3 linked regions of the Canis lupus familiaris genome follow. The protein of the gene in region 2 purifies or fractionates together with the protein of the main gene of each other region. This does not show direct contact. Links are inferred from orthologs where the notes say so. Each region holds a gene or a part of one and is shown on either strand. Other genes may lie near its edges.

Region 1 (10,454 bases), on a different chromosome or scaffold from region 2:
CACAGTACAGTTTTTGCCTTCACCCAGAGCTGCGGCAGGGAGGCCCCAAACAGTAATATATCTCATTCATGGCTTGGCTTTGTCTAGCAGTCACTGCTGGAATCCAGGTTCCAGGCCTCAGGGCCAGGAAGGCTGCCACGACAGGCCACTTCCCAAGAACCCAGCTCACGGCACTCCAGGAGGCACGCGGCACCTGCTGCTCTCAACGAGGCTGGCGCACAACTAGAGGCGGTTGTCTCCGTTGACCCGTGTCCTCCGTGGGGCCCTGGACAGAAGGAGGGAGTGTCCTCATCGGCAGTGGAGCCTCCAGTCCAGTGGGACAGCCCAAAGCCAGACAAGGGTAACTTCTACACAGAAGCAAGAGAAGGACCCAGAAGGGGCAGCAGGCGCTCCTTCCCATCACTCCAGTATGCCCCCCATCCTCTATCCCCTCACCTCCGTTCCCGACTGTCAAAATGGTCTGCCAGGTGCTCCTGGGAGATACGAAAGTCCTCAAATGGCTGCTGGTAGCGGGCCTCAAAGGAACCTTCACGGGCCCGGCCATGGAACAGCTGGCCTGAGGCATCAGAGCCTCGCTCCCGAAGAGACATCCCGAAGGGACTGAGGTCCCCATTCTCCTGCTTCAACAACAGCAGTGCACGAGGGGTCAGCACCTCCTGGGGCCTGGAGAGGCTCCCCGCCACCCACACCACCCTTACCTTGGCAGGGAACACGTCGATCTTGACGAGCAGGGAGGCCAGCTCTAGGTCCTCACTGTAGTTGTTCTTCAAAGGCACAGCTCTGTATCCTGGAAGGAGGAAAGCCTGGCCCTCAGCCCAGGAGGCAGCTGGGCAGGGGGAGCCCCCCACCTGCCCTGGCCCCCGGGCTAGAGCCCAGGCCCTGTCCCTAGGAAAGGCCTCACCTGTCTTCAGGCCTTTCACCGGGAATGTAGCCTGAGCCAGGAAGTTCTGGTCACTAAACATGTCTTCCTCATACACCACAAAGCGCAAAAAGGCGAATTCTGGGTTACTGATCTGGAAGTGGAAGGGCTTAGCAGGCCACACAGGGTTCAGTCCATTGTCCACTGTGAAAGTCAGGGTAAAAGGCCTCAGGCCACCGCCATGAGAGGACAGGCTCGCTGGCGTGGAGGGGCCTTCAGGGTGGGGTGAGTGGGGAAGGCAGACCTACCCACGAACTCTGTCTTCTGCTTGATGCTGTCGTACTCTGCTCCGGCCACTTCAATCTCCACGAAAGGACACACGATGCCTCGGCCATTCTTTGGCAGGTGCCGAGCCCCCAGCACCTGGAAGGCAGGCCAAGATGGGCCCGGGACTCCCCTTCCCGCTCCCTCCGGGTCCTCACCATGCAGTGGAGGCAGTGCGCCCTCTGCTGGGCCCCACAGAGGCGGCCTAATACGTGGCTCACTGAGAGCAGTGGCCTTGGAAACCTACCTCATTAAATCCATGTCTGTTTTAACATGGACATCTTTTAAACGATGTCCCCACAGGGAAAGAAAACAGAAATGTCTTCTCAGGGAAGGAGCACATGCTCACCCTGTGCTATCCTCAGCCCTCCTTCCAGATTGCTCAGCCCCCAGACCCTGAAGTCCACAGCACAGGCTGCCCGGCTGGTGCTCAGGGACTGTTCTAAAACAGAACTGGGGGCAGGCGTCATTGTCACTCAAGCCCAGTCCTCACTAGCCCCAGTGGGTGGCTGACCGCTAGCATTAGCTTCCTGTTCAGCCAGGCAGTGGCTACCCGTAGCTTGGCCTCACTGGACAGCCTGACTCTTTAGTGCTAAGAACTGGCCACATTTGGCCCACCTGCCTTGGGCCTTTGCCACTCTGGGCCTAGCCCCACGGAGGAGGCTGGCACCTGTCTTTCTGCCTCAGAGGATGGTCACTCCTTCCTTGAGCTCAGAAAACAGTCCACTGCCCACTCCCCAGTCACACTGACACCCCATCCTTGACTCAGGAAACGAGCCCCAGCAGAGCAACCCCAACCCACCCTGAAGCCCACCACAGCTCAGTGAGCACCACCCACCTCAATGCAGATGGCATATGGTTCCAGGCCTCGGAGGCTGCTCTTGTCAAAGGGATCAAAGGCCTCGTCCCGCATGGTGCTCGGCTGCAGCACGTAGCCGCAGTGGCCGCCGGCCATGAAGAGGGCCTGGTTCATCTGCATGGGCTTGTCTGGAAGAACCGGGTTACAGTGGACTCCAGCCCCACAGTCCAGCGGAGCCCCTCCCTGCCCCAGTGGGCAGTTCCTCACCTGGGGTCTGGAAGTTGAGGGCTACGAGCTGACTGCCACAGATCCACATGGGCAGGGGGTCATAATTGGAGGAGTCTAGCCGCTGGCCCTTGGGGTAGATGCGTGAGAGCTGCAGCCGGTTGTACTGGAGGAACTTCTTGCCTTTGGCCTTGTTCACATATTTCTCAGCCTTGGTTTCCGGAAAGGATGACATGTCCCGGTAGCAGGCACGTTCTGTGCCAATCTCTGGGCCAAACAGGGAGAATGCTTACAGAGCCCACCCACCCAGGCAGCTCCCCCAACCTCAACATAAGGAACGAAATGCTTCTCTTCCGCCTGCCAGGAGGCAGGGGGCGGGCACCCAAACCCACCCCGCCGAGGCCTCAGCCCTTACTGTCTTCATCGAAGGGAACCGGCCTGCAGTAGACAACCAGCTCGGAGAGCTCCAGGGCGATCTTCTTCCTGCGCTCCATCATCTTCCCCTCCGTGAGCTGGTGACACACACAGAGCCTGTAGCCCCAGGCTGGAGCCCCACCCACACTGCAGGTGCTCTCCAGGCCCTTCCCTGTCCCCTACATCTCCCAGACCCCACTGGCCTCTGTCCTCAAGTCCCACCCCAGAATCATCCTTCCTCTTCCTTGCCCTGAAGGCCACACTTGCCTCTAAGACTCTCAGAGGGTGGGATCCTCACCACCACCCATGCCTTAGCCACAGCTCAGGGCCCTGGGCTTGGCTACGCTCTCCAGTGATGCTTTGTGATCACTGGGTGTCCAGCCTCCCTCTTGTGACCTTGGTGGGGACGCAGGCCTCTGGCTCAGTCTTTGGTGTGCTCCGCCCACCTCCCAGGCCTAAGAACCTTACCACCTCCCCTCCCCCAACCCCAGTGCAGCCACCTATCCACCACAGCCACTCACAAGCTCGCCCCATCCTGTCCTCATGCCCCCAGAGGCCATCTCTCTTCCATCAGGGTCTCCTACACCCACACTCTTACTCCCTCCTCTTTCAGCCCAGTCCCCAGAGTCCATCTCCTAACCAGCAGGTCTGCCAGTATAATCCTCAGCACCTTCCATTTTGTATGGCTCCTGGGTGCCTGTTCTCCAGAAGAGCCACAGACCTGTAGCCCTCTACCCCCACCAACAGCCAGAGGAAACGGCCATCACATAGAATTCCCTCACCTCTTAGAGTGCTTTCCTCTCTCCATTCCCCAGGTTCAGTGGAAGAGTCCTCCCTCCACCCTCCTCCCAGCTGGCCCTGGAGGAGGCGCACTGTCCGTGCCATTCCTACACTCCCCGACACCCGCAGCCATGGTTCCTGGTAGTGGCACCAGGACTCTTAACTGCTGCCAAAACCAACGGGCACTTTCATGTTCTTACTGTGCCTGTCAGTACCTCCACTGCCCCTCGACACATCTGACCCCATCCACCCCCTCAGCCACTTCTAGCTTCTCTGGCCCACCTTCCCGGCTCCTCCTCCTGCTATCCACACCTCAACATTAAAGCCCTCTTCCCACTCCATACCACTCATCCCTCCTGAGCCTCCAGGTACCTGGTTCCTGCCTCCAGCCCAGGACTTCTCTGGCCCTGCGTTTATCCTGGTGCGTGTTAGACCCACAGGGGTGTCCTATGGCTATCTCAAACCCAGCCCTGAAGGAGCCACAGGACTGGCAATGTGTGTTTTCTGCGGATCCCAGCCTAGAGGTGGGCCTGGTGCCGCAGGCCTCGCCCCCAACAGGCTCACATGCTGCCAGCATGCGCCCCTGCGCCCCCACAGACGCCTCTCACCCTGGCGTCTGCCGTCTGGGCCACTTCTCGGATCTTCTTCACCCAGTCCTGCAGCTCTTCCTGTGAATCAGCAGCGACATCCAAGGACCAGTGTGCCACTGAAGCCATGCTGATGGAGAAGACGAAGAGCCGGTTGTTCTTGCCCTCAGGACGGATAGCTGGGAGAGCGAGAGAAGAGAGCTGGGAAGGTGTTTCTGTGTCCCCCACACCACAGCCCAGGTGCTGGCTCAGAGTCCCCTCACCACCCATCCTCCTCCCCACACATCTTGAGGGAAGCAAGGCTGCTGGGCTAGGCCCATTTTCCAGCTGAGGACACCACAGCTCAAAGAGAAGTCGCTGCCAGAAAAGGCGGGCCAGGGCTGTCTTGCCTGGGTCACGTGCCCTGCCCCACCCCATCTCCATGCCCAGCACACCCTGTGACCCCAGCTCTGAAGACTGCAGAGGTTAGCTAGCCCTCTGCATTACCCCCACAGTGCCCAGCACAGGGTGAGTGTGTAGGGCTCAAAGCCAGAGGTGAAGAGAGGAGTCTAGGGTGTCAAGTGGGAATCCAGGCACAGGGAATCCAGACTGCGAGAGCAGCCTCTGTGATGGGCAGGCATTGGCTTCTTCCCTCAGAACACCTAGAGAGCCACCAAGGAGAGCCTGACCATGAGGAACAGTGGGCTGGAAAATCAGATGGGGGCTCACCAATCTGACAGGCTGGCACATCCAAGACCCCACGGAGCAAATCCCCCAGGGGGCTGTTCTCATCCAAGTGCTGTGGAGAACAAAGTCCATGGGGCCATCAGCATGTCTGCTGTGTATGTGCGTGTGAGGGAGGGCTATGTGCAGGCAACACACACGTCTTACAAGCGGACACACGACGACATGAACGCACGGACCCCATAGCGGGGTGTGACTGGACTGTGCACGAGAAGAGTCTGGGGACGGGGACCCTGTTCCAGCAACATGGCTCTGTTCTCACCTCCCTCTCAGGCTCCAGGGCTGCAGGGCTGACCATCTCTTCTACGTAGTTTGACGGGAACCAGAGCTGCTTTTTCCCCCCGTAGTCCCCCCGCCACCTGTGGAAGCCATATGGTGCTGACCCCAGTAGCCATCCAGATTCCCAAGGGGTGGGAAACCCATCGTCAAGGCCCCACACCTACACCAGGCTGCAGCCAGCAGTGCTGACGCACATGCAGGGTGGACTACAACCATACGGTGGCAGAGGTGCACAGAGCCTGCCCCCCACGCACCGCAGGCCCTGGCTCCAAGGACCCGGCTTACCAGCCACCTTCTTGCTTCTCCACATTCTGGATGATGGCGCTCTTCGTGAATGTCAGCTCGTCATCCCTCTGAGCCTTGTAGTCAAAGAGGGCTTTGACGGCACACTGCAGGGGAGGGAAGCATTGGTCAGGGCAGGCGGTCCCTCCTTGCCACTCTCCTGACCTGGGGCGGCCCACCTTGCTATGATCCTTAATAATGGCCCTACAGGTGGCTCCAGGTCAGATGTGACTGAGGACAGGCCCAGGGCTTCTATCACAGAGACTCCATGGGGTCCAGACGAAACCCTGCAAGCCCCCCAGCCTGGGCCCTGGGGAGAACTTTGAATCTGCCCCCAGGAGTCAGGGCTGCAGGTACCCTTAGCGCCTCTCCTGGGACCTGAAAGCCTATAGGCATGGATGGGACACTATCATTCCTCATCTGGAATGTGGGAGAAAATAACCTTTTTCCCAGGTTCCCTGGCCACTGAGGGAAGGGAATGAGGAATAGGGCACAGCTTCTTTACCCCTTAGAGAAAAAAGCAAAAAGGTCTCTGGCAGACCTTCAGGAGGTGAGGGACTGAGAAGCAAAGAACAAAGTTTTCTGGCCAGTGTGGCCTGCCCCTGCCCTGCTGCCCTGTTGCCACCCATGGAGGAAGCGGGAGTTACCCTGGGGAACAACCTGGAAGGGTCACTGCGGACCCCCCAGGGACAAGTTCAGGGAGGGGGTCGGCCCCAGGAGAGCTGTGGTCGTACAGAAACCACATCTCTCACAACCTCTCAGGCCTCGGAAAACCACAAGCACCACTTCTCCACAACGACCACAGATGGGCCCCTGAGCAGAGAAATGCAAGCCCTAAGCATTCCTGGGTCCAAAGGCCTGAGGCTGTACCTTAAAAGTCGGCATAGGATTTGCCTCCACATAGAAGCCAGGGTTGCGTCCCTCATACAGGGCTCCATAGTCAGGCTCCTAGAAACAAGACCAAATGTGAGATGTTCACACCCAAAGAGGACAATGGCTGCCGCCTTGCCTGTGCCCCTTCAATCAGCATAACAGTCACCATGTGTCCCGCCTCACTAGGCCAGGTCCACCAGCATCTCGGACCTCAGTGGGCACGGCCTGCCTGGCCCTCTCCCCCTCCACGTTCTTACCCTTGAAACCCACCTTGTGATTCTGAAACCTCTCTGTTCCTGAAGGCCCAAACTGCTGCTGAGCTGTTTGCAGTGGAGTCTTGCAGGGGCCCCGCACTCAATGTTCTAGCTCAGTGGCTCATCTACTCCTCCCTGTGCACCCCGGTCCCACACACCAATCCACCAGCCGGGCCCCAGTATGTGTAGTTCTATCCCTGGACACCCATGCCTGCCAATGGCAAGTCTCAAGTGGACCTCCCCTCCTAGATGCCTTCCTTCTGTCCTTTGGTTCCAGCCCTGAGCCCTCCCCGCCCCCAAGATCATCTGTGCAGCCTTCCATCTCACTTGTCTTAACCCGGTGCCTCTCCCCTCTACAGCCACACTTCTTGTAGCCAGCTCTCCCCTGCGCTAGTGACAGTCAAGTTTACACCCAGCTGGGTAAGCCTCTGGCCTTGGGACTACCGTTCCCTGTGTGAGCTCCAGGACTTCCTTACCACACACCCAGCTTGCGGGGGCTTAGATGCCCACCTCTAATCTCTTCACCTAATGCATACCCATTCTTAGAGACATGTCCTCTTAGATGACATTCCCTCCAGGACACTGTCCTGGCACCTACACCATGGCCCCCAGCCCAGCAGAGTGACCTACCCTGGAGCTCCTCCAACTCCCTGGCTTCTGTGTCCCACACAGCCAGACTGTCCCATGACTACCCCCAGCAACTAGCCCAGGGCTGCACTGCCTGCCATGCCCCCTCAACCACTGGGCTCTCACAGCTGTGCCTATCTTCTCCAGCGCTTCCTCATTGATGGGATAGCGCAGCTTCATTTTGCGGTATAGCGGGTGCTTCTCATAGTAGCTGATGAGGTCCACGAGGCTGTCAAACTCAGAGTTGCCCAGCATCACAGTCTGGCCCTCCTGCTGGACGCGGCAATGTTTGATCTTGCCCTCGGCCCTTAACAGAACAGTCACACAGGGTCAGGGCATCCCAGACCAAGGCGTAGCCCCGCACCACCCAGAGCACCCCAAGGCCACACCCCTCACCGGAAAGAGATGGCATAGGAGTTGGGCTCATTCCGTTTCCTCACCAGGAAGGCCCCATCCCGGGGAACACGCATCAGCATGTGCTCGGCCTGAGCTCTGGTCAGGCTGGCGTGGTACCACCTGAGGACAGGCCCGAGTCAAGCCCTGGCCATCACTGCTCAGGTCCCCACCCAGCCCCCAGCCCCTCCCTCACTCTTTGCTCTCGTGGGCATTGGTCTGTGGGACCGGCTCTGAAAGGCGCATCTCAAATTCGTTGCAGCGCAGGGGCACTTGCTGGTAGTGCGTGATGAGGTCATAGAGCGAATCAAAGACCAGGTTGTCTGTCAAGAAGAACTTGGGGGCCCCAGCATCCTGCCGGGAATGGATCCGACAGTGCTGGACTTTCCCGTTCCTCCTGTGGGAAGATGGGGAGGCAGTGGGAGGCAGTGAGAAGCAGGCTTGGCCTGGAACATGGCGCTCCAGCCCCAGGGAGATGCCCAAGGGGCTTGGGTGCCAGGCAGCCCTGCGGGAGGGCTTCAGATCACCCAGAAAACTGTATGTGCGTGTGCATGCATGTTAGTAGATCACGTTCCATGTGAAAGCCTGCAACAGGAACCAACTACAGACTGTGGTAAGTGGGTTACCAGAAAGAGAGGGTATAGTCGCCCACGAAGGTCTCGCTCTCCCGCACGAGGAAGGAGCCATCAGGGGCCCCGGTCTCAATGCAATACTCGGTGAGCAGGCGCTCGGCAATGTGCCGTCCATCCCGTCCTGCTCCAAGCTTCCCGTGGAACCACTTCTCACTGGAGTGCAGCTCTGTGCTGCCACTGGCCTGTGAGGGGAGGGCAACAGCAAAGACACTCAGTGACTCTGACCCCAGCCCAACCCCCAGCCCTGGGCTGGCCCCTCACCTCCTTGGGTTCCTCCTCATCCTCATTGCCCTGGTCACTGCTGGTCTCCTCAGAGTAGTAGATCTTGCTGCTGGTCAGAACGAAGTAGTGGGGGTACCACTCCTGGGAGAGACCGAAGTGGGGCCCGTGAATGGAGGCCTCCTCCCACCGTGCCCCTCCAGCCTCAGCCAGGCCTGGCCCTCACATGGTTCACCGGGTCCTCCAGGTAGAGGATGCCATTCTTGATGGAGTTGCTGATATCGTTCTCGGAGTACATCACTGACGTAGGCACCTCTTCGTAGGCACTGCCCTCTGCCAGCTTCTTGTGCTATGGGGGCAGGCCAGGACATGACAGTGCCAGCCCAGTCCCAGAGTCTCCCCACCTCCTCACCAAGGCTGAGCCTGCCAGTTAGAGCCATGGCCTGGGCGAGGTGCTGGCAAGTGCTGGGCCTCCCACTGTTACCTTGATGAGGATCTTCCTCTTGAGCTGGTTGGGTGAGGGGAGCCCGTCAGCGGCGATGTCCACAGGCTTGGTGAGGAGTGTGTCCCCAAGCACCTTCTTGAAGTACTGCGCCATGTTTCTCTGCTGGGCGATGCTGCAGTGGTCCTCGATGGACAGGATGACCGGATACCTGCAGGGCAGTGGACCAGTGCAATGACAAACACCTTACAATTTCAAGGGGTCAATGCTCAGTCCAAATGGCCCCTCAGGAAAGGTGTTAGGAATCAAGATCCTGGAGGCCCTGTCTCTAGGGAAGCTGCCCAGAGAGGATGCTGGCCCTGGCCGCTGGATGGAAGTATTTTCTGAGGAGGGTAGGACTTCAGTTTGCTCCACAGACTAGAGAAGAACCCATAAAGGGGGCAGGCTGAGGATGTAGGAAACAGGGTGGGGCTTAGAAAGAAGGGCTCCAGAAAGCAGCAAGAAAGGAAGGGAGGCCAAGAAGGACAAAGATAAAAAGGGGAGTGGGGACAGGGCATTAGGGGGGCCCTCTCTCCCAGGAGAGAGCTGGAGCCAAACTGCCCCCTGCCCCTCCCCTCAACTCACTCTGAAGCCACGAAGGCATGCTCCTTGATGGTATGTAGAACATCTGAGAACTTGATCTTGGTGGTAAGGGTGTGCCCATGGTAAATGACTGGCATCCCATCTGGGCCATCCCAGCAGTCCACTGGGGAGGAACATGACCACAGTCAAGAGGGCAGGCCTCCTAACCTACCTACTCCCCCAGCCCCGGCCACCACGCACACTCAATGCAGCGACAGCCCATCCGCAGGCAGCGAGCATAGGCTTCCAGAGAGGACTCGCTGGAGAACTGGTCCCCAGTCAGGTACCTGGACAGGGAAGGAGAGGTAAGGGTGGTTGGGTGAGTGCCTCCTTCCCAGGGGTGGGCCGGGTGAGGCCGAGTGAGCCACTCACGTGTTGTGGGAGGAGGAGATCCAGTAGTGGGACAGAGGGTTGTTCATGGTGTCCGGGCACACTGCATCCAGCTGTGAATTCCACACGCTGTTCTCTTTGGAGAACAAGAAGGTGACAAACTGTCCAGGAAGAGGAAAGAAAGGAAAGACAGAGTGAACAAGCCCCTTACCAGCCCACTGGCATGGGCCACGGTGGGAAGGAGATGATGCTCATCAGTGTCTATCATGGTGGGCAAAGTGGACAGTAGGGAGGAACAAGGTGGAAGCCCTAAGGAGAATCTGGCTCCTGAGACCCAGGTGGGGTTCTGGTGAGTGCACCCCTACTCTGAGGGAAAGGTGAAAGTAGGGTTCACCTCGTCCAGGAAGAAGTAAGGCTCTTCAATTTCTCGTAAAGGATCTCGAAGGAAGCTGAGCATGAACTCCTGCACCTGAAGCCGATCAACAGCCCACAGCTCCTGGTGGGGATGGGTTGGGGAGGGGTACGTGAAAGGCTGTCAGTGATGAGCCCAGCCCCCCTTATCCAGGTACCATGGCCCTGTCTGACCAACCATACCCCCTGGTACTCGAGGAGGAACTGCTGAAACTCAGGAAGGGACACACGACAGAGCTCCGGGCGCTCCCCTGCCCTGTGGAAAAGAAGGGAAGTACCTGGCAGCCAGGTGGCTAGCACAGCCCACAGATGACGAGGGGCCCCATGGAAGGCAGAGTCCAGCTCCCACCCAGCAGAGTTGTCCCAAAGGGTCCAGCATG
Region 2 (10,193 bases):
GAAGGCTCCATGGGGGAGGTGACGGTCCAATGCCTGGATGGCAAAAAGATGGAAAGACATGAAAGGCTTTCCAGACTGAGGGGAAAGTCAAGTATAAAAGGTCAATGGCAGCAACAAGATGAACTTGTTTGAAGAAAGAAAACAAGTCTTCAAAGCCAGAGTTAGTGAGCATGGGGGTCAGTGGTAGTTGAGATAGAAGGGCCGGCAGAGGCAAGACATGGAGGGCCAGGGGAACCAGGTTAGGGCATGTGGGCTTTATTTAGTGCACAATGGAATGCCCCTGAAAGGTTGGAACCAGAGTTTGATGGGATCTTTAAATATATATATATCACTGGCTGCCAATGAAAAGAGACGAGAGTGGGATAGGTGAAGATGGGGAAATCCTGCCCACTTCTAGATAAGAGAACAGAGGGGCCAGGCTTAGTGGTGGCAGGGAAAGCCATTTGCAGTGGTGGGACTCAAGCTCTGTCTTGAGGGTGGCTGTGGAGCGGGAGGTGTGGAAAAGTGAGATCAAGGACAACTCCTAGCTGGCTGCCACTAGAGAGAACGGAGGAGATGAGCTGGGTGTGGAAGGAGCTCTTAAACAAGTCCAGTGTGAGATGCCTGTAAGACAGGCCAGTGGAGATGCTGAGTGGGCTTCTGATCTGTGAGTCTGAAGCTCCCAGGAGAACTACAAGAGACAGTGGGATCAGCTGGCTGGGTATTTGAATACAACATTGTAATCTTTTTTTCGTTTCTTGAAGTATAGTCGACACCTAATGTACAGCACAGTGGTTGGACAAGTCTGCATGCTATGCTGCGCTAACCACAAGCATGGCTACCATCGGTTGCTGTACAGCGTTAGTACAACAGTACTGTTGACTCTACTCCCTCTGCTTTCATCCCCCTGACTCACTCATTCCATAACCGGAAACCATACAGCTCTGGGTCCCCTTTTTCCAAAATCTGTGTTCTACCCTCTACTACATCTCAAGACAATCTTCCAGGTTATGAACAAGGGAAAATAAAATGTAACTTTAAAAGACTGCTAAGCACAGCACAATTCATGATTTTAAAACGTTTTCATCAGATTATCTTCATCGATTCACATTTTTTAAAATAATTTAATCAGCAAGCACTTAACCTGTTTCTATAATCTCAGGCAGAGCAAGTTTAATGCCAAGAGGAGGAAAGTGGGATTTTCTTTAATACTTGTTTTTATTTGACTTTGAATGCTTTAGTGCAAAGCGGTGGGCCCTATTGCTCCTTCTAAGACAGGCTTATAGGTGATTAAAGAACCATCTGGCACACAAAATATAGATTTACTTGATCTGTAGGGTTGCTAGATAAAATAAAAGTTTACCAGTTAAAATTGAATTTCAGATGAACAGTGCATAATTTTTTAGTACAAGTACATCCCATGCAATATTTGCGATGTACTTATATTCTAAAAGTTTTTCTTAAAAAAATAAAAATTAATAAAAGTTTTTCTTGTTTCTCTGGAACAAATTTAACTAGATGTCCTGTATGGTTATTCACTAAATCTGACAACTCTCCTTACCTGAAATTATCAAAGCTCTACGACCAACACTACTTCTTGCTCCTTTGAACTCCAAACCAAGAAAATAAACATCTATTTGCCATCTCCATGCTGGTTCTCTCAAAGGATACTACAATCTATTTCTCTAGCTATGTAGACAGGCAGAAAACAGCTGGAACTCTTGAGGCCTTGCTGCCAGGCTTTTGCATGATTTTGCTCATTTTGTTTTGCCTCGGAGGAAGACAAACCACCAAACAGAGAAAAATAATTATATATGTACCAGGCAATTTGTAGGTAGCAGAGCTGAGAGATCTAATAATGTATTCCAGTCTGTCTCAGATTAATTGTATAATAACCTCTGCTTCAGCCTTCTCACCTGAAAAATATGGAAAATATCTTTGCTCGATGCTCCTCACAAGAGACTTTAAAATTTTGCTGAGCTGATGTACTTTTTGTTCCTTCGGAGATGGAGGAGGTGTAGTTCCCTACAGTTTTTGATAGAATATTTATTAACATTCAAACACTACAACCAAAGACAAAAACAAAAGTAGGCATTTTTTTTGCTAAAAAAGCTAATAACGAAATTAAAGGTTTAAAATAAAAATTTGTCAGAATATGAAAGGCGATTCTGAAACATGATAGCATCATTTTAAAGCTCATTTAAAACAAATAATAAATGAGAATTCAACTATATTTCTTTAAAAAGAGAAATATCAAAAAAAGTGCCTACCAGATATTAAAACATAAACACACAAAATATAACACAGAATGGTGTCAATGCAAGAAGCAGATGGAAGTGAATAGAGAGCCCGGAAACCTGTTTTTACTCACAAGTCAATAGTAAGGGGAAAAGCATTCTATGAATAGTATTAGAAGAGTGACTGCAAAACAATTCAGTTTAGAACCCTTACTTCACACCATACACCAAACTAAGTTCTCAGATCCAGCTGGAGAGGAGGAACAAATACAACTTAGAAGAAAACAGCAAACACTCATCTAATCTTTGGTGAAGGGAGGATTGCATAATCTATAAAACAGATGGGAGGAAATCACAAAATTTTTTAAAAAATAGATTTGACTACTTGGTAGAATTAGAAAGCAATTGATAGAAGTATTTCAATTTTGGATAAAGGTTAACATCTCTAATAAAGTATGTCTAAAAATCAAAAAGAAACTTGATAAATACCCAAACAATATGTAGATACAAATGGGCAAAAGATACACAATTGATAGAGAAAAAAAGGAAGTGAATTAATAAGTACTTGAGAAACACTCAACCGTGTTATTTATCAAGTCAATAAACATAATTTAAAAGATTCTACCATTTTTTACTTTAAAATCTATAAAAGTTCTTATTTTTTAGAATAGTCAATGTTGATGAGAGTGTCTGATGCACAATGCTGGCTGCTTGACATGTTTGGAGTGTGGAAGTGGACATGATGTGCCAAGAATTTTTCGGTGTTTACATTCTTTTGATCTAGTAATTCAATTAGAATTATCCTAGATTATCTAGATTATCCTAATCCTAAATTTGAAGAATTTGTCCTAAGGAAATTGTCCTTTTAAAAAACACATCACAGATTTGAAAGATATTCATTACAGTTTTTAAATAATTTTAAAATTGAAGACAATATGGAAATGATAAGGCAAATTGTGGCACAACTACTCAATGAAATGTTTTATAGCCATTTCAGATGTTTCTATGAGCACAGAAAATGCTTATGCTATAATGGAAATTGCAAAAACAGTCAAGGTTCAAAATTGCTTTTGAAATATAACTGCAATTATGTAAAAGAAATCGAAGTATAGAAACTTGACTGGAACAAAAAAATAACATGCTAACAAGGGTTATCTTTTTATGGAGCATCACATGTGGCTACTTTCTCATTCTTTTTTGTTTTTTTTTTTTTCTCCATATTAAGAATTCTCAATTGTGGAAAGATATGTAATAGAATTTAAATTTTACATCTGTGTGTATGTGTGTCCCTGTAGGACTATATATCTGTGTGCGTGCCTACTTGTGTATACGTGTACCCATATGATATCTTCTGTCCTGTGCGCAGGTCCTTTGGAGTGCTGCTGTGGGAAATATTTTCTCTTGGATACATGCCATACCCTAGCAAAAGCAACCAGGAAGTTCTGGAGTTCGTCACCAGCGGAGGACGGATGGACCCACCTAAGAACTGTCCTGGGCCTGTGTATGACCCTTTTAGGAACATTTCTACAAGTTGATAGGGACAGTTTTCCTTTTCAAAAAATACTGCAGCCACATATGCATTTTTTGTTTTAAGATGGAGGGGTTGACCTCTTTTAATACACCCCAGGATAGGGGTGTGTCTGTGACTTCTGTGAGGCGGGTCAGTCTTCCAAGTCCTCGAAAGCAGTAATGTCACGTCTGTAAAGTTATCTACTGTCTGGCTGGAGACTGTGGACTCACCAGGCTCCCACTCCTCAACACCTCCTAGGAATCTGTGTCCCAGACTCCACCCCTGCTGCCCAACACCATCTGTCTTAAGTCTCCTTTAAATATTCCCATTCCCTGCATTTTCTGCTGTCCTGCCTGGCATCACTCACCTCCTTCGCACAAGCAAGGCAGAAGGGAAATATAATTAGAATATTCTTCCCCAGAGGTGACTTTAATTCAGAAATGGAAGGAGAGGAGCCAGATTTCACGTTAACAGCAGGATGTCTGTTAATGAGCTTTGGTGTTCTAGTACCTTTACACCTGGGCACGATTCCTTGGCCCATCAGCAGAGGGCAGCAGATGCCAACCACATGGGACCTAGATAAGTTGTCACTCAAAGACTGCCTCCTCTGGTCCCCCTTAGAAAAATGCTGGGAAAAATGTATGCATCCCTGTTCTCCTAGTTTTAATTAGCGTATTTACTCTTCTTTTAGGTACCGGATAATGACCCAGTGCTGGCAACATCAGCCTGAAGATAGGCCCAACTTTGCCATTATTTTGGAGAGGATTGAATACTGTACCCAGGTATAAACATTTTCCCCCTTGAACCAGCATTTATATGGAAAAGATGGCAAATACCAAACTGTGAAATGAAAGTTAAGCCAGCCAGAAAATGTGAGTTATAATCACGAGGATGATTGCTTATCTATAGTAAGACAACTGGTCCCTCGGTTTGCCCATTTTGTAAATAAATGCTAATTATTACCTCTTCCTTTGCCAACAACATGACACAGCTGCAGAACACCCAATACCATTAGGGAATCAGTTCAAATCACAAGGCTTAAACTAAATGCCTCCTGGGTAGGTAATGGTTTTTTAGACAAAACTGGAGCTTCAGAGAAATATGGGAAACATGTGCTCTCAAATAGCTTATGGTGTGGCTAGAGAGATAATAATGTGAAATAATTTTTTTTTTAATGTGAAATAATTAATCGTATATAATTGTTAAATGGGAGGTTCAATGATAAATATTAGAGGGATTCAAGGGAGGAACAAAGTAAGCTGGAGAAATTTTAACATTATCAATAGCATTAGTACAGCATCTAAATATACAGATCACTTTTCATCTATTTCATTTTGTCCTCAGGGAGATACATAAACTATCCCCCTTTTCCAGATGAGTTGAGGCTTAGAGAGGTTTTCCAAGCCTCACGGTTTCCTAGCAGTACCACTGGTCCCTATGCAGATCCTTCTCCCATTTCCTTCAGAAATAACTCGAAATTCTCCCTTTCTACACCATTTTAGCAGACCCTGCCTCCTACTTCAAGAGAGGAGAGCCTGAGAATTCATTACCCTCTTGTCTATGCATGGACGTCCGTTCTCACCATCTTCCCCACCAGTCAGTGGAGGGGGCCGTCCCCTCCCTCAGAGGAGCCCCTGCACCTGCACCACCAGCTTCCCCGGGGACCCTCCCTCCCTCCCTCCGCAGGCAGGATCTCCTCTCCACACATCAGCCTCTCTCCCTCCCTTGGCTCTCATTCTGCCAGGATATCTAACTCCAGAGAGTATTTCAGAAGTCGGGCCAGGCACCACTACCTCCCCAAATCGCCCCATCCTGGTTGTGACTGAAGCCAAATACGTGTTCAAGCCACATCATTCATTCCTAGCACTCCCGCCCTGCTCTTCCAGCAACTTCAGCTCAGAAGTGCGGAGATGGGCCTTTATCTAGATGGACTTCATTTATCAAGTTATGTAGGGTTCTTTCAGAAAACTTGCTCTTCAGTGAATGGCATCTTAGGTTGTTATGTTGTAATTCTAATAGAATATACCCACTTAAATACATATACTTTGGAGTCATTTTTCTCCCAAGTGGATAACGTCCCTCTTAAAAGCAGGTAATTCTGTACAAGCATATTTCTAATGAGTCTCCATAGAGATTAATAATTAACAGGGAAGGAACTAAAGAATAAGAGAAGCAGAAGGTATTTTTATTCTTATACTCTTTACTGATGAATACTGGACCAAAGTGCTCTTCTGCTACACCGACGCAATGGTTTTCCCATTTTGCATAAAATATTAAAGAATTAAATTCCCCCAAGCTTGAGTTTCCTTCCACAGATTTTCTTCATATCTCTGGCAACTGCTTCTGCTTTTCTATATATCCATTGCTTTAAGAATGATCTAGCACAAAGTTGTTTTTGTAAGTGGTTTTCCTCATAGCACTGCAGGACTTCCTGGGCTTCACAAAGGGCCTGGTCAGGTCCAGACCAGATAAAGAACCACTGTGTTTTCTGCACACAGAACGATACGATGATGTAACACAGCAAACATGATAATCAAGTGTAGCCCATCCAAATATGAAAATGGAAGGTAGCTAGGAAGAGAAGAGAGAAACCTTGTGAGCCAACAGTGTGTCTCTCCTCCCCTCCCCTCGTCCCTCATGTGTACACACACGCCGACCTGAAGTCAAACACCCAGATTTTTCTTTTCAGTGGCAGGGAGTTTATTGGGAACAGACTGGGATAAGTTTTTTTTAACTGATTTATAATCTTTTTAAATCCATGAATCTGTCAGATTTTCCCAAAGGTGGTTCCCTGCAAAGTCTTCCCTGATCCCACACACCCAAGCCAGGCAGTTGGTTGGCTGCATCCCAGCACCTGGCACCTCTAGACGAGTGCTTCCCCTCCACGTCCTTTTTTTGTTTTTTTTAACCCAGCAGTTTTTTATTGGAGGCCACCCCAGCTCCCAGGAGATGGGGAGAGGCCAGGGTCCACCAGCTGTGGCAGCCTGAGCAGGAGAGGCGGGCAGCACCCCCCGCCAGGGAGGACACCACCGGCATTTCTTCTCAGGGGCAGCTGGTCCTCTGAGCCTTCTTGATTTCCTCTGATAGCGCCTCCTCCAGGGCCCGATAAAAGGATGATTTCCTATTCATCTCCTATTCCCTGGTGCCTCTGAATTAAAATATCCCCAATCAACACTGAATGGTCTCCTCACGTGTAAAATCAGTTTGGATGAGACCATCAGTAAGGTATCAGCTTCCAGATCCAGCAGTTTTGGTCTGTGATTCAACATCGTAATCCGTTTGTTTCTCCTGCCTGTAGGACCCAGATGTGATCAACACTGCTTTGCCCGTAGAGTATGGCCCACTCATGGAAGAGGAGGAGAAGGTGCCCATGAGGCCCCAAGACCCTGAGGGAATTCCTCCTCTACTCGTCTCTCCTCCACAAGCTAAACGGGAGGAAGGGCCAGATCCAGCTGCCCCGCCTCCCCTGCCTTCCACTTCCTCTGGCAAAGCTGCCAAGAAGCCCACGGCTGCGGAGCTCTCTGGTCGAGTCACTAGGGGACCAGCTGTGGAAGGAGGACACGTGAACATGGCATTCTCTCAGTCCAACCCAGCGTCAGAGCTGCACAAAGTCCAGGGATCCAGAAACAAACCCACCAGCCTATGGAACCCAACTTACGGCTCATGGTTTACAGAGAAACCCACCAAAAAGAACAATCCTCCAGCAACGAAGGGGCACCACGACAGGGGGAACCTGGGGCGTGAGGGAAGCTGTACTGTCCCACCTAACGTGGCAGCTGGCAGACTCCCAGGTGCCTCTCTGCTCCTAGAACCATCCTCGCTGACTGCCAGCATGAAGGAAGTGCCTCTGTTCAGGCTGCGTCACTTCCCGTGTGGCAACGTCAACTACGGCTACCAGCAACAGGGCTTACCCTTCGAGGGCACCACCGCGCCCGGAAGCAGCCAGTACGAGGACGCCCTCCTGAAAACCCCACCTGGGCCCTGAGCCCCCTGGCACTCGGGAGCCCCGAGCCCACGGAGGAGGGACAGGTCATCGCTCCTCCACAACCAGAGACCAAATGTCACTTTTCATTTTGTGCCAACTTGTCTTGAAGTGCCACATAAACAGCTGTATTTTCAAAATGCTTTAGAAAACAAGGTTTTGAGCATGGGTTCATCTTACTGTTTCAAAAGAAGAAAATATCATCAAGACGAGTGATGACTACAAGGCCCCAGTTCGGTTGCATAAGGTTTTTATGCATGGTTGATGTCCACTTCCTCCCGCTTCTCTCAGATCGTGTCTGCTCGGCTTCGGTGCGGCAGCACCAGCTGCTCATGTGTCTCCCGGTCGGGAGTCATAGGTGTTTCCTGACCCTGCTGGCGTGGACCCGGACCACTTGAAGGGGGCAGGGAACAGATATAAAGGAGCTACTTGGAACGAGCTGGCATGGGGAAAAGACTCTCTTTACTGGGAAAGGAAAAAAATCATAGACGACTAAGCTGAGATGGCCCTTTAGATGATGTCGGGACGCTTTCGATTGTGTCGATTCACTGATGATTGTAAAAATGTGATGAATAGTTATGGTACCATAGAGAAAATGTGAATACACTAATCTGAACGAAAAGCAGATACTCGGCGTACTTTGAGTATGATAAAGACACAGTGCGTACAGATCCAGAGATTCGAACATCCTGTCAATATACCTCATGCCTTAAGAAAACCCTCCTACCAAGGGGGAGTGAGTGCGAGGTTTCCTACTGGATTGAAAATGCAAGATTTGAATTCTTACTTCATTTAACACCTTCCACTAATTAAAATCAACTCTGATCATTTAAAAGCAAAAATGTTCAGCAGCAGTGATAGATCGAAGTGTAGAAACTTGTCCCTTCATGGGCCTAAGTGTCAATACATCCCAGGCCAAAATCTTCCAACAGTTTCCATCATGAAGGTGAACCACACAGACATTTCCACCGGCAGCGGCAGGCGGGTCACTGGAACAACAGGCCCTCAGCGGTCCTGAGAGGGACAGTGTCCGCCCTTCTAGTGTTCCCCTGCCTTCGGCCCTCCTGCAGCATGCGATCCCAGTGTACATGGGGTCATGATTTGTTCAAATATACACAGCATTGTTTAGATAGCTACCAAATGGAGATGGAAACAGAATTTTCCCTCTGGGTGGCAGAGGAAGAGCCGGGCACTGGAGTGTGGAGATGGATGCTGGCATGTGATAGTGGGGGCTCCGAACCCGGTTTTCACAAATAACATTTATTTCCATCAAAGCGAACTGGAAATGTGTTGTTTTACACCCCCGTACTTACACAATAATGCTTTATCAGTGAATTTTCATTTCATTCTTTCTTTCTGCTTCCCTGCCATTCCTTTGCTCAGCTTCCTTCCTGCTGGTGGCTATGCCAAAACATCACTTTGGGAGGAGAGCATTTTTCTTTACTTGCTAGGCTCTAAGCATTCCCAAGCAACAGGACTGTATATATTATAAATATATCTCCACCTTTCCCCCACCTCCTCACTTTCACCTACATCACAAGGCTCCCTGTGGATGTGGGAAAGCCATTCCGTTCCAGGCCAATACTAGCCAAGTGTCCATTCTTTCTGTGGCGGATACCTTGCCCTAGCCGGTGGTCCTGCACATCTTGTAGAAGCACTCCTACCCTGGACACCACTTTTCCTTTATCTTAGCTGCCCAAATAGTTTCACCAGATTACAGATGATGCTGAAACATCAACAAACTCATCTCTAAATAACCATATCAGTAAAGTTTTGGCTCATACCAGGCACAGAAGTAAATAGTCCAATGATACAAACATTAATTCATAAACCACCTAAAGGGGCCCAAGAACGATACTTTGAGAAACACTCTCCTAAAAGATAATGATGGAGGAGCTGACAAGAACTGAGAACAATTTCTCCATTTTATATCTGTAACACCAATAACCAGTTAAACAGGGAGCATGCTACATGGTTAAATAGCCAACTCTTTATGGTCCTTAATGGGGAAGAAAAAAAAATCGTATCCCTTTCTCTTCTTAAAAACTACAAATCCATTACATTTTTCAGGTTGTGCCTTACTACCACTGAGTTTGATTTGCTGATTCTAATTGTCTTCACTGGTATCAATCTTCATGTAAATGATAGTCAAGTCTTAAAAGCCTGTATACATGGATAAGTAAATAAACAACTCCACACTGAGATATGATGACCTCAAGATGTGTCATTTAACTTGCTGAAAGCCCCAGGTATCACCATGAAATTAACCTGGACTACTGTCCACTCAGTATTGCTCTAACCCATATGGCTATAGCGATTTGTACAGATGCTGTGGATGCCCTTCCTTATTAACTACGATAGAAGAGTCCTACCTAGAGCACAGGCACAATTAGAGTTTATAGAAGCCATGTTAATTAAACTGTAAGCTAGAGTATTTATATTCCATGTCCATAAATAAGCTCATCAAAAGCTCACACCCATACCA
Region 3 (9,750 bases), on a different chromosome or scaffold from region 2:
CATCCCACGTTCTTCCAGGAAGAAGCCAAAACGGCACGCGGGCAGCATCCTCGCTCTTCCCTGGTACTCCTCCTGGAGGGGCGGCGCTGCCTCCGTCACACCGTGCCCGGGCGCAACTCCCGAGCCTGCGGCGCTGCGTCGCCGGGTCAGACCTTCCCACGAGCCGCACGCCCGCGCCCCCTTTCCCGGATCGTTCAGCACCGCTGCGGCCACTTCTTTCCAGCACGCCCCAGCGGGCAACCTCCACGTGCCCGGGGAAGCTCCCAGAACGATCCAGAACCCCGCATGGTGCGGGGTGCGGAGGCCTCGAGCTCTAGGCACGCCCCCTCCGCCCGCTCCCCGGCGCGGGACACACTGCGGTCCGCAGCTGTCCGCGCCCTCTCGCCGCCAGGCCCTCGCGCAGGCGCCCTGCTACGCTCCGCGCCCGCGCCCCGGGAGTCCCCCGCGCATGCGCCGGTCCTGTTGCTTCAGCCCCGGTGACTAACTCCTCTTGCCCTCACTTGTCAAAGTTCACGACCTCGTTATGGCCCCCGCGGCGGCACTAACCGGTACTCGAACTCCTCGTCGTCGTATTTGTCCGAATAGTAAATCTGTTTGTGCGACATGATCACTCAGCCTGAGGACCGTCAGGCCCACTCCGGCAACCTCCAAACAACTCCCAGCAGCACGCGCTCCCACCCACTTTGGCCTAGCTTTCAAACACGCCGCCCGCGCTTCCTATTGGACCCCATGGTTTAAGGCGGGACTACTCCACCTTCAAGCCGCCGATTGGTTTAGATTTGCTTCTGTTCGAGTCCTTATTGGACCGCGCTGCTTACGTTAGTCAAGAATGAGCGTAGGGAAAAAATATGCCTCTAATTGGCTATTCCTGCCCCCGTGCGCGTTCTCGCATTGCCATTGGCTGATTCGGCAAAGTGGGACGGCTGAAGGAGGGACGCTGAGGTAGAGGGTCAGGGGTTAGTGAGGCCGGAAGTGAGTGCAATAAAGTTTCTTCAGGGAGGCCAGGCCGGGGAGAAAGTTGGAACGGCGACCTAAGGAGGCAGTGGCGTGATCCGGAACCAAATCGAGCCGCGGTGCGGTGCGGAGACTCCATGAGGCCCTGGTGAGTTAGGTCTTCTCCCTCTCCTAAGGTGACCCATTCCTCCACCCCGGAACCCCTCTCCCGGGACCCTACTTCCGGTCTTCATGTGCAAGTCCCGCCCCCTGAGACCCCCCTCCCCGGAAGTCCCACCCCCATCTTCAGGGGGCTCCCCGAACCCCGACTTGTTTTCTGTGTATTGTCCACGACCCCACCCTGCTGCCCAGCTTTCCTGGAAGTCCCACCCCCGAACATGCTTCCAAGTCCGACTGTGAGAAACCTGACGGTAGTTCTCTGAGTTCCGATTCTTCGCCTTCTGGCGACGGGTCCCCCAGGAGGCCAGAGCCCCGCCCCTCCGAGGCCCGGCCGAGTGCCGGCAGCCCCGCCCCAGAGGCTACGCCTTCCGAGAGGCCCCGCCCCCCGCCTGATGGCGTCGGGCGGTGCTGTAGCCTCGCCTCTTACAGTGCCCGGTACCCGTGATGTGGGGCCCATTCCCCCTGGGCAGCGTCCAGAGTGGGGCGGGCTCCGCCCCTCGGAGCGCTGTGGTAGTCCCGAAGCCCCTTGCTGACACAGCTTCTCTTCTCCTTGGGCTTGGGGCTCAGCTCTGCGGAGCCAGTGCTTCTGCTCCAGCAGGTGGGGCGAGCCGGGCGAGGTCAGGGGCCGCCCTCCGCCTCCCTTGCCCCTCCCCCTGCCCCGCGGAGAGGGGCCTGGACTTGGGGTTTGGCGCCAAAGGGGCCGAGAGACTTGCTCCTGGGTTCCCAGCCCAGGACAGACTCCGCCCCAGAGACAGCTGTAGGGCTAGCACCCGCACCTCGGGAGCTGGTAGGGCCGTGAGGTTGGCGTGCAACCTGCGGGTGCACCAGGAGCTAGAGTGTCCTGCTGCCTGGAAACGGTGGCCTGGCGTGGGTGGAGGGGACAGTGGCCTTTTTGCTGTTTGAGTTTTTTTGTTTGTTTAGTTTTTTGGAAGGGACTCCCCAGCCCCCGCCGCTTCTTGGGCTCTTCCCCTCCCCCCCAAGCAGAGCTCTTGTCTGGGCATTCCTCCTGGTCCCGCTTGCCCAGCCTTCCCTTCTGGAAACATTCCTGAGGCTTTCGCCATTTCCTGCTACTTGCCTCCTCCTCCCCGCTGGGCTGAGAAGCCTGGAGCAGCTCCTCCCCACACACCCAGCCACACTGACTCCCTGTAGGCCATCTCCTTTCCTATGCAAATTTAAAGAGCCCGACTTCCTCCTTCTTTCCTTCCTAAGGCCCACACCTGTGGGCGGGTCCTCGCTTCTGGATTGTGCAGACGCCGGCAGGGGAGGACGTCCTGGCCTGTGTGCAGGGGCTGCAGAGGCCAGGGTAGAAGCCTTTCCTCCATCCCTTTAGGCCAGAGAGCTAAAGGCCAGGGGAGAGAGTTGAGCACAGTATCTAACACGATTTGAGTGTTAGTATTATTAGCTACTAGTTTGCATCTTTGTATCTTCTGCAGTTTAAGAATAGGTAATTCCAAGGTGAGCATAGAGGTTGTATTTATCTCTAGTGCTTTTTTGGTGACTTTGCCTCTTCCTTCAAGGTCCCCTCTAGTGGAGCTGGAAGCTGTGCAGAAGGGATGGGCCCCAGCCCGTCCCTGGCACCCCGGCTCAGATTTGTCTTCCTCTCCCTCTGTGCTTTCATGGCCTGTCCTTTCCTCTCCCCACTTCTCTTGGAGAACTGTTGTACTCTCCCACCTCCTCCAGTGAGACTCTACCCCTGGTGTTGGGTGCACTGTGCTCCCTGGGCACACCTAACCTTCTCCACTTAAGAGAAGGAGTATGAACATGCCTGGCAGGACCAGGAAGCCAACCCTTGTGTCAGTGCCCTGTCACCTATGTGACCCAGGAAGCCGACCCCTGTGTCAGTACCCTGTCACCGAATTGCCCGTGACAGCCTGCTTTGCTAACTAGACCTGTGGGATGGGGTACAGAAGAGTGCTTGGCTGTGGGCTGCTGCCCCTGGCATGGTAGGTGCCAGCCATGGAGGGCAGGACTCCATCAGCCCGTCCCAGGCTCCAGTTCCTGCCTGAAGGTTCCCTGGTGCACCACCCAGGTTGGACTTTGTTCCCGTTACTTCTCCAGCTTCGTGCTTCCTCTTGGGCCTTCCCTGCGTCCACTGGGACCACTTGGATGCTTTCCTCTTCCCTTCACCACCTGTTCCCAGCTGTGGTAGCAGAGGGCGCTAATGGCCCAGGCTCCCCAGAGCCACCACCCCACGGTGTGATAGGGCTGGAGGAGGGGGGGCATTCCAGCAGGACAGGAACAGAAGTGCTGAGCTCAGGGGTCCCCTCCTTTCCACTCCCAGCTCCCTCTGTTTCCTGTCCCGGTCCCCCTACCCTCCCGCAGCTTCCTGCTCCCTGTGGCCTGCCCATGTCCTGTGTGGATGGATCCAGACCTCTTCTTATTTCCCTCCTTTCCTTCTCTTTCCCACATCCTTCCTTCCCACTCCACTTTACTCCTCCCCAGATTACTGGTGGTTTGTCTCGGGGCAGGGTGGGGGCACCGAGAGCTTTATCCCTGCCAGAGTTCTAGGCTGGGGCTGCTGTGGGGGCTTAGCCCCTTGGAGCCTGTGAGTCAGCACTGTCCTCGGGATTGGTCTCTGGCCTTCCCTCCCCGCCCCTGGGGAGGAGCCAGGCTGCTTCTGGTCCAGCCTGTTCTCTTCTCCGCCTGGGAAGAGGCTCCACGCTGGGCGGGGGATGGGGCCTGAAACTATCTGGGTCTGAGCCTGGGGCCGCTGGTGCCACTTGTCACTCTCCCTCCCCAGGATCCTTGAGATCCCTGGGCCATAGAATCCGAGCAGACTAAAGGCCTGGGGATGCCCCTTGCCTGGCCCCCTTGCCCTGACTGGCAGGGGGGCCAGGCTGGGCAGCAGCCTCCCTCTCACTGCAGCCATGGATCTCCTGCCCCCCAAGCCCAAGTACAATCCACTTCGGAATGAGTCTCTGTCATCGCTGGAGGAAGGGGCTTCAGGGTCCACCCCACCGGAGGAACTACCTTCCCCATCGGCCTCCTCCCTGGGGCCCATCCTGCCACCTCTGCCTGGGGATGAGAGTCCCACTACCCTGTGCTCCTTCTTCCCCCGGATGAGCAACCTGAAGCTGGCTAACCCAGCTGGGGAGCCAGGAAGGGCCTCTAAGGATGGGGAGGGGACTGGAGGGGCCGCCGTGCTGGACTCAGCCCCCCTGCCCCTCCTCCAGGACATGAACAAGCTGAGTGGAGGAGGCGGGCGCAGGACGCGGGTGGAAGGGGGCCAGCTGGGGGGCGAGGAGTGGACCCGCCACGGGAGCTTCGTCAATAAGCCCACACGGGGCTGGCTACATCCCAACGACAAAGTCATGGGACCTGGGGTTTCCTACTTGGTTCGGGTGAGTGAATGTCTCCCATTCGGTCCTCCCTGCTCCCTCCCAGACTCCTTCCTCTGCTCACTCCAGCTTTGCCGAGCTGGGAGCCTCTCGTTTTCTGCTCTTGCCGGTACCTCCCTTGGTTTCAGGATCGCTTCTCACACCTCTCTCTTCCCCTTTCTTATTCTGCGGCCCCTCCCATCCAGCTCTGCCTGGGCCCCTTACTTCTGGTGACTCCCCCACCCTGCCATGCTTAGCACAAAGCCCAGCACGTTGCCACCCTTAGTAAGTGTGGGAATGAGCGGTCCTGATTGTATCCTCCAGCCTCCTCCCTCTGGGGATGTCACCTTCCCCACCCCCCACCCCAGTGCCCATCACTGTCCTCGAGATCCTCTTCCCAGATGTCCAGGCCCTCCTGGCTTGCTCGATCCTCCGCCCCTCATTTCCTGTGGTCTGGCACATTGTGGGTGTAGCCGCAGGCTGTGGGCAAAACTTGGTCTTCACTCTTCAGAGTCAGCCTTTTGGCTAAGATCAAGTGTAGGAAGCACTCAGGGGAAAGGCCTGGGACTCTTTTTGTGGAGGGGGTGCTGACTCGTTACCTTCCTTTCCTCCTTTCAGTACATGGGCTGTGTGGAGGTCCTGCAGTCAATGCGTGCCTTGGACTTCAACACCCGCACCCAAGTCACCAGGTTAGTGGGGAGGGGGCAGACTGGGGATTCCTGAATTAATGAGGGGAGAGGGGGTACATAGGGGAGTGGGCTCCTGGATCAGTGAGTATAGGAGGGAGTGGGTCTTGGTCACTTGCTAGTGATGGCTTACCTTCAGGGATAAAGGATTGAGAGAAAGTTAGGGGAATCAGTCTAAGTCTGAATGAAAAGCAGCACCTCTCTGGTCTGGGACCTTCTTATTTATCCAGTCCTGTGTATGGTGGGAGAGGTGGCAGAGGCAGCTGGCAGCTGGAGCCTGAGTATAAAATGGGGTGGATGGAAGATTGCTGCTGCCTTTGGGATGGAATGGGACATTTGGTCGCTGGAAGTAGGTGGGGCCAGACTCACAGAGGCCCTAACCCAATCAGCCAGGAAGTGGCCTCTCCGTGTCATCAAATATTAAAGGCCTTTAATTCAATCCACCATGACAAAGAGCCTGGAGTGCCCCTGAAGTCTGGCCTGGTCTTCCCCTCCCCCTGCCCTGTGGCAGCCCCAGCTGAGTGGGAGGCAGGCTGTGGGTCTGAGGACCCCTTTCTCTCCAGGGAGGCCATCAGTCTGGTGTGTGAGGCTGTGCCCGGTGCCAAGGGGGCTACAAGAAGGAGAAAGGTACCTGGGGCTGATGGGGCTGGGGGCACTGCTGGGAAATGTGGAGGAGCAGGGGGAAGATAAGTCTGGGACCTGTGGGGGGAAGGCCAAAAGGCGGAGGGAGGGGGATTCGTGGTGTGGGGAGCCCCCAACTTCTGAGACTCTGGGCCCTTCCCTAGCCCTGTAGCCGCCCACTCAGTGCCATCCTGGGGAGGAGTAATCTGAAATTTGCGGGAATGCCAATCACTCTCACCGTCTCCACCAGCAGCCTCAACCTTATGGCCGCAGACTGCAAACAGGTTGGTGGGGTTGGGCAAGGGGGCCAGAAACACTGCTGGGAGAGCGGAGCGGGGACCTGGCCACAGGGCCAGGAGCTAAGACAGGAAGGAAGGAGGAGCATAGGAGGACCTGGGCTAAGAAGCCAAAAGGGTGGGACTGACACTCCAGGGCTCCGGGCCCGGGCTGGGGGTGCCCAGGAAGGCCCCAAGGCTGCCTGACCTGTGTTATTCCCTTCCTTCTCTGTACCCTGCCCTAACCCTCAGATCATCGCCAACCACCACATGCAGTCTATCTCCTTTGCGTCCGGTGGGGACCCGGTGAGTTGGGGAACAGGGTGGAGGTGGGGGAGGAGTAGGGGCCATGCTGTCTGGAAAGAGGGTGTGCTGGGGTCCAAGTGGTGTCTGGAAAGGACCAGGATGTGTAGGGGTCAGGAATGAGGTGGGCTGGAAACTGGAGCTAAGTGGCTTCTTCTGACCCTGCCCACCCCAGGACACAGCTGAGTACGTCGCCTATGTTGCCAAAGACCCGGTGAATCAGAGAGGTGAGGCGTGGTGGGGAGCGCTGGGTGGGGCCGGCTGTCCGTGAGGCAGGTGAGCAGGACCTGGGTAGCTAAGTAGGGCTTCGGCTGGGAAGATGAGGCCCCTGACCGCGCCTCCTCCCAGCAGTCCACCAGAACTCACTGACTGCCTTTACTGTGCCCCCAGCCTGTCATATCCTGGAATGTCCCGAAGGGCTTGCTCAGGATGTCATCAGCACCATCGGCCAGGCCTTCGAGTTGCGCTTCAAACAATACCTCAGGAACCCGCCCAAGCTGGTCACCCCTCATGACAGGTGAGCGGGTGCGCAGGGTATGGGCAGCTCCTAGGCACTAGCTGGAACTGAGAAAGCAGGTCTGCTCCACTGCCCACGCTTGAGCTCAGAGAGGGTCAGGGGGAAATAACCTGTGTGCCTGTTTCCCACTTCCTGCTATTCTTACGTTTCCTGTGGCCGTCAGGAAAGTCTGGCCAGGTCCTGCCTGCTTCTGCAGGCCCGCTCTTCCTCTCGTATGCCAGGCCACCGTGCTGCTGCTCTGCCCTTCTGTCCTCAGCCACCTCACTGCTGGCCTGTCTCTCTTTCTTGACCATTTCTCCGTCCTTATTTTTTCACTTTCTTGCCCATAGAGCCATCAGGAATTTGGGTGAGGGAGGGTGTCTTTTTTCCTGAGATCTCGACCTTTCTTTCCCACCTTAGATCAGTAGCTACTGAGTATTTAGAGGAGGTTAAAATATTCTGGAGTGCATCCCTTCTTTCTACTGTGTGCTTCCCCTTCCTCTTGGGAGATAGCATAATAACTGAGAACATGAACTTTAAATCAAATCTGATGTTACCATTCAGGTCTGCCACCGTTTAATTGTGAAACAATAAGCAAACGTCTCCACCTCTGCTCCTCATCTCACCTGTATCACTGGAGAAGGGGGTATAGATACCTTGCAGGGCTGCCAGGGGGATAGAATGCCTGTGTGTAGGAAACGCCCAGACTCAGGCCCACCCTGCAGGAAGTACCCAGTCCATGGCCACTGTCTGTGCCCCCTTGTTCCCTCCTGTCCCTCTCAGGATGGCTGGTTTTGACGGCTCAGCTTGGGATGAGGAGGAGGAAGAGCCACCTGACCACCAGTACTATAATGACTTCCCGGGGAAGGAGCCCCCTCTTGGGGGAGTGGTGGACATGAGGCTTCGGGAAGCAGCCCCCCTGGGGGCTGTTCGGCCCACCCCACACGTTGTCCAGACCCCCAGCCACCTGGGAGCAACGCTGGTAAGTTATTTGGATGGAGGTGGGCTGGGCCTGGGATGGGAGTGGCCAATTTGGGCTTCTGGTCTCATTTCATTTTTGTTTCTGCAGCCTGTGGGGCAGCCTGTTGGGGGAGACCCAGAAATTCGCAAACAGATGCCACCTCCACCACCCTGCCCAGGTGTGAAGGGAGCTGGGAAGGGCAGAGTCAGGGGTGTGGAGGCAGGGCTGGGGTCACGGTGATGCCTCTGTTTCCTTATCAGGTAAAGAGCTCTTTGATGATCCATCCTACGTCAATGTCCAGAACCTAGACAGGGCCCGGCAAGCAGGGGGTGGGGCTGGGCCCCCCAATCCTGCCATCAATGGCAGCGTGCCCCGAGATCTCTTTGATATGAGTGAGTGCTTCTCTCTCCACTCTGCATCTCTGTCTTCCTACTCCCTGGGTTCCTCCCCTTGTGTCCTGCTCTTTCCTTCCCGGCCTCCCCTCCCTGAAAGTTTGGGTCTGGGTGTGTGTTGTGCCAGTTGCCTCTCAGGCCTCTCTCTGAACCCCCAGAGCCCTTCGAAGATGCGCTTCGGGTGCCTCCACCTCCCCAGGCGGTGGCCATGGCTGAGCAGCTCCGAGGGGAGCCCTGGTTCCATGGGAAGCTGAGCCGGCGGGAGGCCGAGGCCCTGCTGCAGCTCAATGGGGACTTCCTGGTGCGGGAGAGCACGACCACACCCGGCCAGTACGTGCTCACTGGCTTGCAGAGTGGGCAGCCCAAGCACCTGCTGCTGGTGGACCCGGAGGGTGTGGTGAGTGTATCAGGAGTTGGGGGGGGGAGGGCGTGGCAGAAAGGAGGGTGCAGCATGCTCCATGCAGCTATGCGTCTTTCCTCCCTGCTTACTGCTTTTCCTGCTTGGCAGGTAGATGCAGGCATTCTTCCCTTCTCAGACTCCTGAACCTGAGCTCTGTTCCTTTCAGTCCTCAAATGCCCAGCCCTGAAGTGCATTTGAGCTGGGTGTTCATTTTGCCTGAGCCCCTCTTTTGATAAAGGAGGAAACCATCCTGGAGAGGTGGCAATGCCCTTCACCTGAATTGACCCCCTCCCTTCCCACTCCTCAGGTTCGAACAAAGGATCACCGCTTTGAGAGTGTCAGCCACCTCATCAGCTACCACGTGGACAATCACTTGCCTATCATCTCTGCGGGCAGTGAACTCTGTCTCCAACAGCCTGTGGAGCGGAAGCTGTGATCCATCTCAGTGCTTTCTCCCCGAAGGGGTCCTTCCACCACTTCCACTCTATTCCTTGAGTCTCAGGACCTCATTTGAGGGTGTTCTGTGGGCTTGGCCTTGTTGTGTTGGAGCTGGGGATAGTGTGGACATGGTTCAGCATCCAGCTGAATGAGAGGTTTTGTCAGAAGCCTGGGGTAGAATTTTGTTTCTCCCCAAACCTTACCAAAGTATTAATGTACAGAGTGGCCCCCTTCCCTGGGCCCTTCCTGTGCCAATCTGATACCCCCTTCCCCAAGAAGGTGGGTGCTTGAGGCCTAGGCAGTGTGCCTCCTTGAAGTGAGAAAGGCCTAATGGGGCAATCACCTTCCCAGGGAAGGGGACTGAATCACACCTTTGGTCTATTCCTGGGCTCAGGGTATCCCAGACCCCTCTCAACAACTCTCCCTCCCAGTGGTTAAACTTTGTGCCTTTGACCATCTTCTAGGTCTGAAGACATTTTATGCAAAGAATTCTTGAGCCCCTGAAGTGGAGGGTGGGAGTGCTGACACTTTCTTGGCTTCTGGAACCCTGTCCTCTCATTGCTCAGCAACCGCTCTGCTTTAAGTTGGGAGACCAGAGGCAGGAATGGCAGCTGTCCCCTCTCCGGGGGATAGGCAACCCTTAGAGATTGCCTCAGAGTCCCTCCTTCCTGGCCAGCGGGGAGATGGACCCCTCCCTTGCTCAGTGCCTCCTGGCCAGAGGGGCCCCTCACCCAAGGGGTCTGTATAT

What was found.
Region 1: the proteins of ALK (region 2) and PLCG1 purify together in Homo sapiens (affinity purification with western blotting; 3 studies listed by BioGRID, with this or other methods). This does not show direct contact. The link is inferred for Canis lupus familiaris from reciprocal best matches to the Homo sapiens genes ALK and PLCG1.
Region 3: the proteins of ALK (region 2) and SHC1 purify together in Homo sapiens (affinity purification with mass spectrometry; 3 studies listed by BioGRID and IntAct, with this or other methods). This does not show direct contact. The link is inferred for Canis lupus familiaris from reciprocal best matches to the Homo sapiens genes ALK and SHC1.

The regions. Positions count from the first base shown.
Region 1 is NC_049245.1:29,776,521-29,786,974, reverse strand, and holds part of PLCG1 (1-phosphatidylinositol 4,5-bisphosphate phosphodiesterase gamma-1), read right to left. Parts: intron 10,331-10,454; coding exon 10,258-10,330; intron 10,160-10,257; coding exon 10,058-10,159; intron 9,825-10,057; coding exon 9,706-9,824; intron 9,621-9,705; coding exon 9,535-9,620; intron 9,458-9,534; coding exon 9,337-9,457; intron 8,924-9,336; coding exon 8,755-8,923; intron 8,620-8,754; coding exon 8,497-8,619; intron 8,415-8,496; coding exon 8,313-8,414; intron 8,234-8,312; coding exon 8,046-8,233; intron 7,817-8,045; coding exon 7,616-7,816; intron 7,543-7,615; coding exon 7,423-7,542; intron 7,334-7,422; coding exon 7,153-7,333; intron 6,221-7,152; coding exon 6,143-6,220; intron 5,380-6,142; coding exon 5,276-5,379; intron 5,071-5,275; coding exon 4,974-5,070; intron 4,767-4,973; coding exon 4,697-4,766; intron 4,168-4,696; coding exon 4,010-4,167; intron 2,720-4,009; coding exon 2,623-2,719; intron 2,475-2,622; coding exon 2,250-2,474; intron 2,171-2,249; coding exon 2,022-2,170; and 11 more. UniProt on the Homo sapiens protein: Mediates the production of the second messenger molecules diacylglycerol (DAG) and inositol 1,4,5-trisphosphate (IP3). Plays an important role in the regulation of intracellular signaling cascades.
Region 2 is NC_049238.1:23,038,310-23,048,502, reverse strand, and holds the end of ALK (ALK tyrosine kinase receptor), read left to right. Parts: intron 1-1,799; exon of another isoform or gene 1,800-1,895; intron 1,896-1,896; exon of another isoform or gene 1,897-1,943; coding exon of another isoform or gene 1,944-2,004; intron 2,005-3,582; coding exon 3,583-3,717; intron 3,718-4,417; coding exon 4,418-4,508; intron 4,509-5,890; exon of another isoform or gene 5,891-6,179; coding exon of another isoform or gene 6,180-6,297; intron 6,298-7,024; coding exon 7,025-7,711; 3' UTR 7,712-9,912; downstream 9,913-10,193. UniProt on the Homo sapiens protein: Neuronal receptor tyrosine kinase that is essentially and transiently expressed in specific regions of the central and peripheral nervous systems and plays an important role in the genesis and differentiation of the nervous system.
Region 3 is NC_049228.1:42,486,233-42,495,982, forward strand, and holds the start of SHC1 (SHC-transforming protein 1), read left to right. Parts: upstream 1-2,322; 5' UTR 2,323-3,980; coding exon 3,981-4,454; intron 4,455-5,048; coding exon 5,049-5,119; intron 5,120-5,679; coding exon 5,680-5,743; intron 5,744-5,901; coding exon 5,902-6,021; intron 6,022-6,264; coding exon 6,265-6,318; intron 6,319-6,490; coding exon 6,491-6,542; intron 6,543-6,705; coding exon 6,706-6,832; intron 6,833-7,594; coding exon 7,595-7,793; intron 7,794-7,880; coding exon 7,881-7,950; intron 7,951-8,032; coding exon 8,033-8,164; intron 8,165-8,322; coding exon 8,323-8,561; intron 8,562-8,871; coding exon 8,872-9,000; 3' UTR 9,001-9,750. Other genes in the region: CKS1B (cyclin-dependent kinases regulatory subunit 1), read right to left, coding at 547-605. UniProt on the Homo sapiens protein: Signaling adapter that couples activated growth factor receptors to signaling pathways. Participates in a signaling cascade initiated by activated KIT and KITLG/SCF.